Linked DNA regions of Arabidopsis thaliana. The protein of the gene in region 4 interacts with the protein of the main gene of each other region in a pairwise test. Each region holds a gene or a part of one and is shown on either strand. Other genes may lie near its edges. The genes, in order: AGL101, AGL78, AGL89 and AT5G38620.

What was found.
Region 1: the proteins of AT5G38620 (region 4) and AGL101 interact in a two-hybrid assay, tested with the Arabidopsis thaliana proteins (one large-scale study listed by BioGRID).
Region 2: the proteins of AT5G38620 (region 4) and AGL78 interact in a two-hybrid assay, tested with the Arabidopsis thaliana proteins (one large-scale study listed by BioGRID).
Region 3: the proteins of AT5G38620 (region 4) and AGL89 interact in a two-hybrid assay, tested with the Arabidopsis thaliana proteins (one large-scale study listed by BioGRID).

What each region holds. Positions count from the first base shown.
Region 1 is NC_003076.8:9,518,281-9,521,138, reverse strand, and holds AGL101 (AGAMOUS-like 101), read right to left. Parts: upstream 864-2,858; coding exon 501-863; downstream 1-500.
Region 2 is NC_003076.8:26,108,430-26,111,903, forward strand, and holds AGL78 (AGAMOUS-like 78), read left to right. Parts: upstream 1-1,896; coding exon 1,897-2,922; 3' UTR 2,923-2,974; downstream 2,975-3,474. Other genes in the region: AT5G65320 (basic helix-loop-helix (bHLH) DNA-binding superfamily protein), read right to left, coding at 1-211.
Region 3 is NC_003076.8:9,734,895-9,737,822, forward strand, and holds AGL89 (AGAMOUS-like 89), read left to right. Parts: upstream 1-1,630; 5' UTR 1,631-1,756; coding exon 1,757-2,428; downstream 2,429-2,928. Other genes in the region: CDC20.5 (cell division cycle 20.2, cofactor of APC complex-like protein), read right to left, coding at 2-1,354.
Region 4 is NC_003076.8:15,463,358-15,466,823, reverse strand, and holds AT5G38620 (MADS-box transcription factor family protein), read left to right. Parts: upstream 1-1,916; coding exon 1,917-2,966; downstream 2,967-3,466. Other genes in the region: CYB-1 (cytochrome B561-1), read right to left, coding at 262-310, 537-683.

The DNA.
Region 1 (2,858 bases), 5.9 Mb from region 4:
TAACCACAGAATCTATCCACCGCGTGACACAAGACTGTTCACTCTCAGTCCTCCGGATACACTAAAGACCTATCAAGAAAACTCACTAAGGCATTGTAATCTGGGAACTCACTGGCATCTAAATCCAACAACTGAACAAAGTCAGTTTTTTTTCCACATCTTGGACAAAACATTAGTATTAAGTATTAACAACAACTTTTGACGGAAGCTGCTACAAGAGCGTCTGACATATCAAAGTGTCAGGTAATATGATTATCATATCCTCTTCTATAAGCTTTCCTCCATTGAGTTCATTCACAAATTGAACCGAAAATTTCACAGAATATCTTGCTCAATTACTCAATTAGTTGTCTTACCTGCATCAATTATGGACATCTAACATTCAATGTCTAATGTATATTCAAACTCAAATTTAAGACTCATAGACAAAAATAGAATTGAGAAAATAGCATTCATAGTTAGGAAAACATACAATTCAACAGAAACTCTTAATCAGACAATTAAACGAACACATAATCTAAACTAGAAACAGAACGAGTCAGGGACTTGGTCTGATTCTCGGGTTGTAGTAACAGAAGCTTATCTTGTAGCACCCGTAGACCCCTTTCTAACGAATCCTTCATCTCTAAGACTTTCCCTGAGAGCTTATTGTCGTCGAGGATCTTCTTACGTAGAAACAGAGAAAGATTGGTTCTTTTCTTCCGTCGCTCTCTCTCGTTTAGTTTGGTAAACCTCTCTGCCATGTCTCGAACCTTGGATTCATCCTCCGGCCATGTCTTGAAGAGTTCTCCGTCACGACCATAATATATGACACAGACTTCGATGTTGCACAGAGTTGAAAGCTCCAAGGCTTTCTTGAACATGGTCTGTTCTCTCATTGGTAAACCTTCTCCATCACTCCTCCTCCTCTCAAATCACAAGCGACGAAACAATACTCTCCGCTCTCTCACTCTCTGCTTGAATTTATTTGATTAGTCTTTTAACGCTTTCTTCTCTTCTCTTCTCTGCAGGCTTCATTTGATTAGTTTCTGTCTAATTTCTTCTAATAATCTTCAGAGTATATTCAGTTAGATCCGTTTTGTTTTCTTCGTGTTTAGTAATAATAATGGATACATGTATGAAAGCTTGGTGTCCACTTCAAGAACACTTTCTTCCTCGGAGAGCTTCCAAGGAAAATTTGGACAGGTTCCGCCATGGATTTCGACTATGCTCACTACGATCTAACCGAAGGAAGAAAAGCTAAAGTCGATGAGGTAACTTCGCTGTCAAGAAAAGCCTACATGAAGCAATTGGCTAAGGGCTATAAATTTGAATCGCACCCGGATTCTCGCTTTCAGAAACAAACCTCAAGCTCTGTTTCCTAGTAATCACTCTGCTTTTCTTCACCAGCAGCGTTAACCCGTAAAGCCTCGTAAAAACATTTCCTCAGACTTGTGAGAGAATCTTGAATGCAAGTGGCATTGTGGATGACTTCTACCTTAACTTGACAAGCCCATGTATTTCCTATCTACTAGCCCATCTAAAGCCCATGTATTTAGGTTTCTAGCAAGTATATTCATTATATATATATATGAGTGTAATGAACATCAATTAGTTTTTTTTTTTTTTTTACAAGTGTGTTTTAATTATAATACAAAGCCAAATGTAACATGCCAATATTTTACAAACACTAAAGTAAAAAAAATCATAAGTCCAAAAGCTCAAATAAGAGAACCCTAAACTGAAGGAAAAACTTGTATACAACATATAAAACACGTGTCAAATGAGAAACAAGTTGGAAGACATGTGGGAAGTTGAAGAGGAGGAGGGAGTCTCCGATTATCGAAAAGTTGTTGTGATGTCGGAAGCTTCATTCTAAGCAGAAATCGCCGGAAAGCTTATTCATCTTCTTCGCCCAAACAAACCAAGGCGAAATTCCAATTGACTTTTGTTGCAAATATGACTCCACTTGATACAAATCTGTAAATCTTCTTCATCTTCTTCTTTAATCAAAAAGTTTTCAATCGTTAAGGAAATTTTGCTATTTGGGGCTTGCTTTCATTCAAACCTACGAACAAAACTTCAATCAAATCCAAAGCATCGGTCCAAACACAAAATAACTGAAGCTAAAGAGAAACGAGAGAATGAAAGACTAAAAACAAATCCGGACAAAAGCCAGTACTAGCCATCTGAATCGCCAGAGGCTGAATCGATGGAGACATAACCAGCCACCGTTGCAGAAGAAGCCAATCAGTACTGGAAGTGTCAGCCAACAGTGGTAAACAGAGCCACCGATGTCGGAAAAAACAGCTTCCACCGCTTATACGCAAGTGATGCCAGACGCAGAGCCCAACGACATTGTGACATAAGTCTCCATAAAAACTCTAGCCCCCAAAATCAGGTCGAGAACCTATTTTCTCTCTGAAAGGTATTAGAGAGAGAAGAGGGAGAGAAAAGATCCTCCCGAAAAAATGACATCAATAAGGGTATTTAGGGTTGCCTTGCAACCTCTATTTCACCCTTAATTTCATCTTATAATCTATAAATAGTTTTAGTTTTGCTTTTATTTCTCAACGACGACGTGGTTAACTTCTTCATCTCCATCCTTCTTAATCTTCTTCATAGCTGTCGACGCCACGCTCTCCCTTTCCTCCGTCGGATCCACTACTACTTCCACCGGATCCACCTTTTTTCAAAGTTCTCGGAGACAACGAAGAAGACTAAGCATGTCGGAGGAAACTTTCTGAAGAAATTTGAGGGATCAAGGACTGAAAATCAACCTCCTCCATCAAGTAAGGTAATGTGTCTAAACTTTCTTTTTAGGCTGAACAAGAGAAAATGATGCTGGTTGGTTTAGGCTTATAGGTTTGGAATCAAGA
Region 2 (3,474 bases), about 11 Mb from region 4:
GAGATAACTTTTCAGTTAAGTGAGATTTTTGCTCTGTTATGGAGCAGGAGAGTGTCGCTGATGAATAAGAAGAGGACGAAATGGAATTTTGCTGTGACGCCACGTCTTCAGAGTTCGAAACGACGATGTTTTGAAAGTAATCCAACATTTCGTAACTTAAGGATGTTTCCACGAGTGAAAAGCCATGAGGGTAATCTTGTTGGAACATCATATATAGCCTCTCTCTCTCTCAACCAAACGAGCACAAAAAGAAATGAAGGAGTTAATGCATAAAAGTTAATGGCTACGTTATCTTTTACACAAAGTAATGTTTATGCGTGTATTTATAATGGGGTCTTGTTGGTTTGTTTTAATTTATTAATCTTTGGAGGACTTTAATAATCAAATTTTCACGACGTTTATGTAAGAAATGAAGCCCTAGCTCTGAAGAGATCAACCATTTGATTAATTTTAACCCGATTTTACGCAATAAATTAAGAAACGAATGCAATAAATTCTTAATACTAAGATCAACAATTAGTTTATAACTTTATATTTTACCCGATTTTACGCTTTATATATCGTCATGAAATCTCTCATGTTTGACTAAGGGGTATTTTTTATACCATGGACTTTTTGCTCAAAACCTCAGTTACAAATAGAAATAAAAACTCTTACAATTGATGGAAAACAATCTATAGGGAGTTTATTTATTTATTGACTGCAATCAAATATACTATCAAATAAAGAAAATTGGATTATGAAATGAATCTAAAGGGATACTTCAGCAACAGATCCCACATAACATAATCCAATAAGAACGTTCAGAGATATACACAACAAATAAGAATGTTAACTTTCATGATCGCAAAACAAATCTTAATACTTTACCATTCAAGTAATATATTTAATGAGGCATAAACAATTTATATTTCTTTGTGATTGCCAATCACAATGTCGTTTTATATGATTGGTACATTTCATCTAACAAAGAAACGAGTCTATTTGTGAGTTGAAAATTCGTGATTTGTGGTTCACTATTGGATCGTCGTTATCAATCTGACATTAATTGTACCCTATTATATATATTGTTGTGTCTATAATAAGGCAAGCTGGTTACTACATTTGTCGACTTCCACATTCCCAATTATTGTGTATTTTCTTGACTAGCTAATACATATATAACAAGAATTAATCTTCCACAATATGAATTGTGATGCGTTTACAGTGGTAATTTTGCAATAAACAGAGTGAGTATATATATACCCTTCGAACATTTAGTTTTAATTATTTGAAGAGTGTTTTTATGTTAGTTATTTTTCACAACATTCTGATTGGAGAAACAATTTATAGATTTTTGAAAACCCTTAATTAACAACTATAACGTAAAAAAAAATTTGAAAAAAAAAGAAAAAAAAAAAGATAGAAGAAACCTAGAAATAAAATGAGTTGAAATCTTTCTTCAATTTTTTGAAAACCCTTAATTAACAATTAAGAGTTTTTTTCTTAGAGACAGATTTTCCTTTTTCCTCCAAGTTTTTGTTGCACAATTAATAATTACACAATCAAATCTATAGTATTTTTTTAATTAGATCTTAATTTTGTACAGCCTAAAATAAAGTACCATCGAGAAACTAATTAAAAGTTTCCTTTTTTTTTGGTCTCTACCATCGAGACATTAATTAAGGAAATCTACATTAGATATTGGAAATCGAATCGAATCGTAGGAGCGTAGATCTTCACGCCTCGCGATTAACAACGACGCGTCGCGTTTGCTTGTTCCCGTAGGCACCAAGGCATCTATATAAACATATTGAGTTCACAATGTTTCACCCTCAATTCGACAATACTTCTTCTTCGTGTGTTCTCTCTCTCGGAAAAAACCCTAGTTTCTTGCCGAATCAAGGCAAAGTCACGATGAAGCAAGCTTCTTCTTCTTCTTCGTCACGTAATTCAACAAGTTTAACAAATAGACTTAAAACCATCTTCAAGAAAGCTGAAGAGCTTTCGATTCTCTGTGCTATTGAGGTTTGCGTCATCTATTACGGACCAGACGGTGAACTGAGAACATGGCCTAAGGAGAGAGAGACAGTGAAAGACATGGCTTTGAGGTATAAAGAGGCCAGAAAACGCAAGAAGAGCCGCAATCTTCATGAGTTCCTCGAGAAGGAGAAGGACAAGGACAAGGGGAAGACGAATTTGAAGAAGAATTGGTATCCAAACTTTGATCATTACTCTCCTCAACAACTCTCTCAATTGATTCAGTCCTTAGAACGGACTCTTTCTACTCTGCAAGAAAGGCTTCGTATTGTTGAGGCGCAGAAACTACAGAACACAAACTTGGTGCATCAGAGTTTAACACCATCGTATCTGAACCAGACCCAACACTTGAATCCTAGCAAGTTCTCGCTGTTTATGTACAACCATGGAGATGCTACTCTCTCACAACTCCCACTGTCTGCTCCACACTCCAATCAACTCATCAATTACCAGAATCACTTGATGCAGCATGGTTTTGGTCAGAACATGTGTTCGGACAACATCACCAACAACAACTTTGAACATCCTGGCGTGTCAAACACACAAGACTACTCACCGTTACTTTCGGTACAAGCATCTGCAGTGAATAACTACGGGTTGAATAATCACTTGATGCAGCAACAGGATCAGCTTCATGGTTTTGATCAGAACATGTGTATGGTGAGTGAAATCATCAACAACAACAACGGTCTACAACATCCTAATCTCTCAAACACGGTTCCACATGAATTCTCTTCTGATTTCAACCAGAACCCTTATGGTAATGCGGTCGGTAACATTAGCTTCTCTCAAGACATGTTTTCAAGCTATGATGCGAGCAGTCTGCTACAGACATCTTCTCTGCCACCTCTCCACAACATTCCTAGCAGTTATTGTTTTCCTGGCAACTCAAGACTTCTCTGATAACAAAATCTGTCCAAAAGAATTTGTTTTTTTGAAGCTTCATTAAGAGTCAGTCAATAGTTAAGTAGCAAGCGGATCGGAGAGAGATTGAAGCTGTTTCTGCTTCCGATTTCTTCTGTTACTGTTTTTTTTAATATTTTATAGTGTCATTATAACTGCAAAACAAATCCATTTGTTTTTTTTTTTTGTTAAGAAAACAAATCCATTTGTGGAGATTTTGTTTTTACTTTTAAGTTGATACTTTTTTCAGTTAGTATTGACATATATATATGAACTTCCATAAAAAATCTTTCACAAAAACTTGCATGAAACAAATTATAATCTTAAAACCTTAATTCTTGCAACTTAGTATCCTTCTTGTCTGAATCAACTAATATATACAAGGAGATGGAGAGTGGATCTGAGTTCGTGAAGCCTCTAGACTTTTTGCAGAAGAAGAATCTCTGTGTAGTTTCTGAGTAATGGTATGAGGAAGAAGATAAAGATTGAGCTGATTGAATATCTGCAATTAAACTAGCCCTTGTGTTTTATCAAGAAAGTCGATATCACATT
Region 3 (2,928 bases), 5.7 Mb from region 4:
TTCACCTAATATGATTCACATGAGCAAATGGATCCGTATATTTTTTTGAAGCAGCTTTCTTGGTGGTCTTAGGTGGTTCTCCAAAAACATTCCAAAGCCTGAGAGTCTCGTCACCGGCTGCAGAAGCCACGGTACAACCATCCGGACTCTGTGCCATAAAAAGAACTCTTGATGTATGACCATTGAGTTCAGCCATTTTCACCATAGATGGGTACTTCCAAAGTGTAAGCTGGTTCTGTGTAAACCCATGTGAGCTAAGCAACTCTCTTTCACTTTTGCTCCATAACAATGAACAAACTTGAGAGCCAGTTTCTACTGAATTCAAGCAAGCCCCAGTGTGTGTATTCCAGAACTTAATCTTCCCATCACCTACACCACCACCAGTTGCAAGCAAACTCGCTTGGAAAGGGCACCAAGCAAGAGCTCTCACTGCAGCTGTATGTTCCTCAAACCTATGCAGCCATTGCCTAGTTGGGTTTGAGGAAGCGACAGAACGATGATCCCAAATGTGTACTACATTGTCGTTACCACCACTTGCTAGTTTTTTTCCAGATTCTGACCACTTAAGACCACAAACCTCTTCTGTGTGACCCAAGTAAGTTTCAACAATAGATGATCTGATCCTCACATCATTGTTGACGATCTTTCCATCCATTCCTCCAGTTGTTAGAATGTGATTGTTCCATGCCAATGATCCTACTCTTGACTCGTGACCACCTCTCAGTGTTCTCACTTGACGATTGGAAACACAATCCCAAAGCTGGACTTCACTGTTGTCAAGACCAATTGCCAGATCAAGACCATCTTGCGTCCAGTTAATACTTGTGACAGGTCCCTCCTCTTCATCAATGGTCACAAGCTTATATGTAGAACCACTAGACGCATCCCACAAGTAAACAGTGTCTCCCAAAGCAATGGCTAAGACATTAGAACTGCCCCAATCCAACAAGTTAAGGTAGAAGTCATCCGCAATTCCAGGTGCATCCAAGACTCTCTCACTATTCTGAGGAATGTATCTACGAGGCTTTACGGATATAGGTTGTTGGTGAGGAGGATCAGAGTGATTACTAGAAAGCAGAGCTTTAGGTTTGTTTCTGAAAGCGAGAATCCGAGTGCGATTCTGATTCATAGCCTCAGCCAATTGCGTCATGTAGGCTTTTCTTGATGCTGAAGTTACCTCATCGACATTACGTTTTCTTCCTTGGGTAAGAGCGTAGTTAGCAAAGTCGAAATCCATGGCCGATCTATTCGGTATGAATCTGTCGAAGTTTTCCTTGGAAAGTTTCCGACGGAGAAAGTGTTCTACAAGTGGACACGAAGCTTGTGCCTTTAAATGTGAAGAAGTGTTCATCATAACTGTGATTAGAAGAAGACTAAACGAAATATGACAAAGAGACAAATAAAACCTGCGAAGAAGGAAACGTAAAGTAGATTCAAAGCAGAGAGACAGAGAGCGAATAGCGAATAGTGAAGGAAGATTGTGGCAATTTTAGGGTTTTTTGCTTTCTTTAATTCATTACATAGAAATTGTCAATTACGTACAACGGTTAGATATTAGTAAAATGGAAATCGGATCTAATTCAGATTTCCGTTAAAAATAAATAAAAGATTTTCATTACAGTTACTGAAGAAAAATGAAATAAATATGGAAATCGAATTTAACAAATTCAATATAAACCCTAATCCCAATTCTCTGACTTTATTTTCTCTTTGCAAGAAACTAAAGCTTCTTTCTTTCACCGTGTAAACAACAACAATGGATTCTTCAATGTCGACGAAGAAGAAAACCAAATTGTCTGTGAGAAACCAAACTTGTTTCAAGAAATCGTCTCTTTCTTCTTCTTCTACTGCAAAAAAGACCACGAATTTGTCTATGAGAGAAGAGACCATGTTTAAGAAAGCCTTGGAGCTTTCAACTCTGTGCGACATCGAAGTCTGTGTCATATATTATGGTCGTGACGGAGAACTCATCAAGACATGGCCGGAAGATCAATCCAAGGTTCGAGACATGGCTGAGAGGTTTAGCAAACTACACGAGAGAGAGCGACGCAAGAAAAGAACAAACCTTTCTCTGTTTCTACGTAAAAAGATCCTCGACGACAATAAATTGTCGGAGAAAGTCTTAGAGATGAAGGATTCGCTAGAAAGTGGTCTACGGGTATTACAAGATAAGCTTCTGTTACTCCAACCCGAGAACCAGACCGAGCTAGGTCAGAGCCGTGCGGTTTCTTCCACAACGAATCCATTGTCTTCTCCTGAGGATCATCATCATCAACAATGGACAGAACCATTGGTGACTGGTGTGTCAAACACAGAGCAAGACCTATCGACGTCACCATTGAGTAACCATCAGAGCAAATATTCAGTCTTTGTCTATAACCATGACAGCGGAAGCTTCTATCAAGTCCCTGACTCGATCTGTTTCTAGTTTAGATTATGAGTTTTAATTGTCTGATTAAGAGTTTGTGTTGAATTGTATGTTTTTCCTAAGTATTATCATTATGAATGCTATTCTCAATTCAATTTTTGTCTGAGTCAATTAGTTGGCTTTGTTGGATTTAGAAGCCAATGGTGAATTTCCAGATTACAATGCCTTGTGATTTTCCGATTAAAATTCTTCCAAGCCCTAACAATGGAGATTTGTTCAAGAGATCTCCTAACTCTCCTCTATGGTTTGTTACACACACATCAATACATGCATAACTTGTGCAATAACCTTCTATCTATTTATATACAACTCACTAGACTCTCAAGCTAGTGGTTAAACAATCTGTTTCTTCTTGCTCTGTTTTCACGTGCCTTCTCTGCTTCTCTTTGCTTATTCACGAGCCTCAACGAATCCGTTTGAGCTACCACACGTGCCTCCTAGCTTATCATAGGTCTTTTGATTCATGTTTGTACAAGCTTAAGTAAAGTGTATCCGGAGGA
Region 4 (3,466 bases):
CTAATCCTATGAGTCCTAAACCTCTTGACATAAAATTTCAATGTACTCAAATGTTAAAAAGGGCAATTCAACAGTTCAGTCTCTTTGACAAATGAAGTATGCGGAAATCGAACATGAAAACCGATACAACGAATACTAAAACCTCTTGACATTAGAATAGTCGCCAGACGGTAATATACTACAAATTTGAAGTCTAAAATATGAAGTTAAGACGGTAATATACTACAAACTCTTAACATGTGAAGGAGATTGTTTGCTTACCTTCTCCATTGAAGAGTATGAGTCCAATCACCATCATCACTGGATGAACCTAAAAACAAAGACATTTGACATCATCAGATATATATCTACCAATGATGACATTATACATCCAAATATGAGTCTCAGATCATAGCTTGTGATCACACAGAAAAGTAAAATCCAAATTTCAATATCTCAACAACACAATCAAGAAATATGAATCTCAGATACAGCAACAAGAACATTTCATCCAATCCATTTCACATGTGAGTCAAAACAACAATCGAGAGAATTACATTAAAGATGTGATCTTTGTTATCAGAAGAAAGAGCTAAGCCTCCTCTGTAATGAACAGTCCATGTCAAAACCAAAGCCGCGATGATGAAACCCAAAACTCTCACTACCATGAAGATCGGAAATCCACCCAGCACCGGAACCGCCATACTAAGCCCAGAAAATGCGAGTCTTTTATACGGCGATCAAAATCAGGATGAATTAGGGCTAGGGTTTTAGTTTTTAGTCGAATTTTGGGGATTTCTGAATCACCCCCTGTGTTTTAGATCGGCAATTACTCGACTTTGAGTTTGAGGTCAACCAGAGTGATTTGCCAGAAATATTATTTTTATAAGATTTTTTAATTATTATTAGTAATTTGATTTAAGGGTAAAAAAATGGAGCTTTGTGTCACTCACAAAACTGATTAGAGTAAAGATCTTTTGTTTATGTCTACTTTGCCTATTTTTATTTTTATTTTGAGAGAATTACAATGACACACACCCATAGATTTTTATTTCAGAGGCAAAACAGTATTGATTAATATTGAATAGTAAAAAAGATGAAATTCTCCAAAAGTATCTCTTTGTTATGAAAAATAAAGAAAGTGTGGCAAAGTGTAAGTCTTCCGGTCGTTAACAATGTTTTCTTCTGCTACCATGTAAGCTTTGTTAACTTCATAATCACATTTTAAGAGTGATACTACATTGTTGATCTTGTGATTAGAAAGAATAAACACGATAATGTGAAGAACCAACTATATATTTGTTTGTGTCTCTCATAATAATCTGACAATTTTTTTTTTGTAGAATCTAAGAAAATAATTATAAAACAAAATAACTAAAAATATCGCTAAATAAATATGAATGATAAGAAAATAACTAAAAATTATCAAAATAAAAATAAATAAATTATCTAACGTTCTAATTAAATACTACACTAATAAATAAATACTAAATTTGTTTATAAAATTAATAGTAATATAAATAATTTGGAGGCAAAATTTAGTTATTTTATAAATTTTGTTTTTAAACTATTAAAAAGAGTCTTAGGTAATTCTTTTTTTGTTTTTTTTTGTTTTTGTGTGGCGAAGGTCCATAGAGCATAGTTGAAATTATATATCTATTCTTGTCCATCTTTGAATAATTTATCATCAATAATGTTATGCTTGTACATAAGCAAATAAGAAAGGATGAAAAAAAAAAAAAAAAGGGGATTCTGGTGGATGGTTAGGCTTAGCCCATATTACGGTCCATGTGGTTTAATCGGTTAAGGAGGATGATATGGGGTTTCGATATTTCCTTTTTCATATGAGATTCGATAGTCCCTTATATATATGAGACTGAGAGATAGAAGAAGCCTTCACTTCAATTATCTGAAAATTGAGAAAAAAATCAATCAGAATGGTGAAAGGCACGAAGAGAAAGATTGCGATTGAGACGATACAGAAGAGAGATTCCCTTAGGGTTACCTGCACCAAACGCCGTAAAGGTCTCTATAGCAAAGCCTCTCAGCTTTGTCTTCTCTCCGACGCACAAATCGCTATCTTAGCGACTCCTCCTTCTTCTGAATCCGACGTCTCTTTCTACTCTTTCGGTCACTCCTCTGTTGATGCCGTTGTCTCTGCTTTTCTCTCCGGAAAACGTCCTGTTTCGGCTCCGAAGGATAACAAAGAGACGAGGGAGGACGTTGGTATCTGTTTGACTCGCAAGAATCTAGGGTTAGGGTTTTGGTGGAATGACGAGAGCCTTGTGAGATCGGAGAATCCTCAAGAGATTAGTGAAGCGATCGGTTCCATGTGGACTCTGTTGAGTAATCTCAAGGAGTTGCGTGCGGATGAAGCTTGCGTTAACGATCACAAGGACTTGAAGAAGAATGAGAAGAGCGATGTTCACGGAACTCAAGATCAAACCCTAATTTTTCAGTCCGCTTCTGCAGTTTGTTGCATCCCTGAAAATCTCAACGATATTACTCAAGAGCCAAATCAAACCCTAGATATTCAGTCCAGTAGTTCTGCAATCTGTTGCGTCCCTGATAAATCACCTGAAATTTTCAATGAAATCACTGAAGAACAAGATCAGATTCTCTCGATTTGTGAAACTTTTTGTGTTACGGATAATAACAACAACAACAACAACAACGCTGCTTTACCTGAAGTTAACCTATATTACAATCAAGACATGGCTATTGATCAACTCATTGACTTCAACACCCCTTTTGAAAGCTCGATAGATGATTGGTTTTCGGACAACACTACTCATCAGGAGACGACTAGTGCAAGTATTTTGAACGATGTTGGTGTTGATGATCAAGTCTCGGTGGATACAAATCCGTTTTCTTATTTTCAAAGCCTTGAAGATGCAGATTTGGTGTTTCAGAGATGTTTGGATGGAGATAATCTACGATTCTCTGATTGTTTCAATGACTTTGCAAACACTATTGCAGCAGTTTGAAGATAATCTCTCTGCAGTTTTCAAATCAACTTCTCTTTGTTATCTGTATGTATTGATTCTATTAGAGATTTATTTGTTCTAGCAATGTAATGAATGATCTGGTTTGACCTCGATCAGTTTTCCATATATGTATGAGGGAAATTGATCGAACTCAAACTGGTTCTCTGCTTCATCAGTTTGGTTTAATGATAATATTTGTGTTCTGTTTCTATGTTTTGTATTTGTAGTTTTAAGTCCAACAAACTCATGTCTTTTTATAAATCTTAATCGGATAAAAAAAAAGGAAATGTCTTTAATTTATGGCAAAATTGGTAGCTAACCAATGAGTATGATAAGAGAATCAGGTGAAATTTCGATTATATACATAGAGTTAACCAACTGGTATGCAATTGTATCATTTACACATTCTACAAAGAAATTGCCACTGAATAAACTTCAGGTTCCTCTGTTTCATTCTTAAAGTCTCAGAGTGGGGACCAAGATCAACATGATACAAAGTG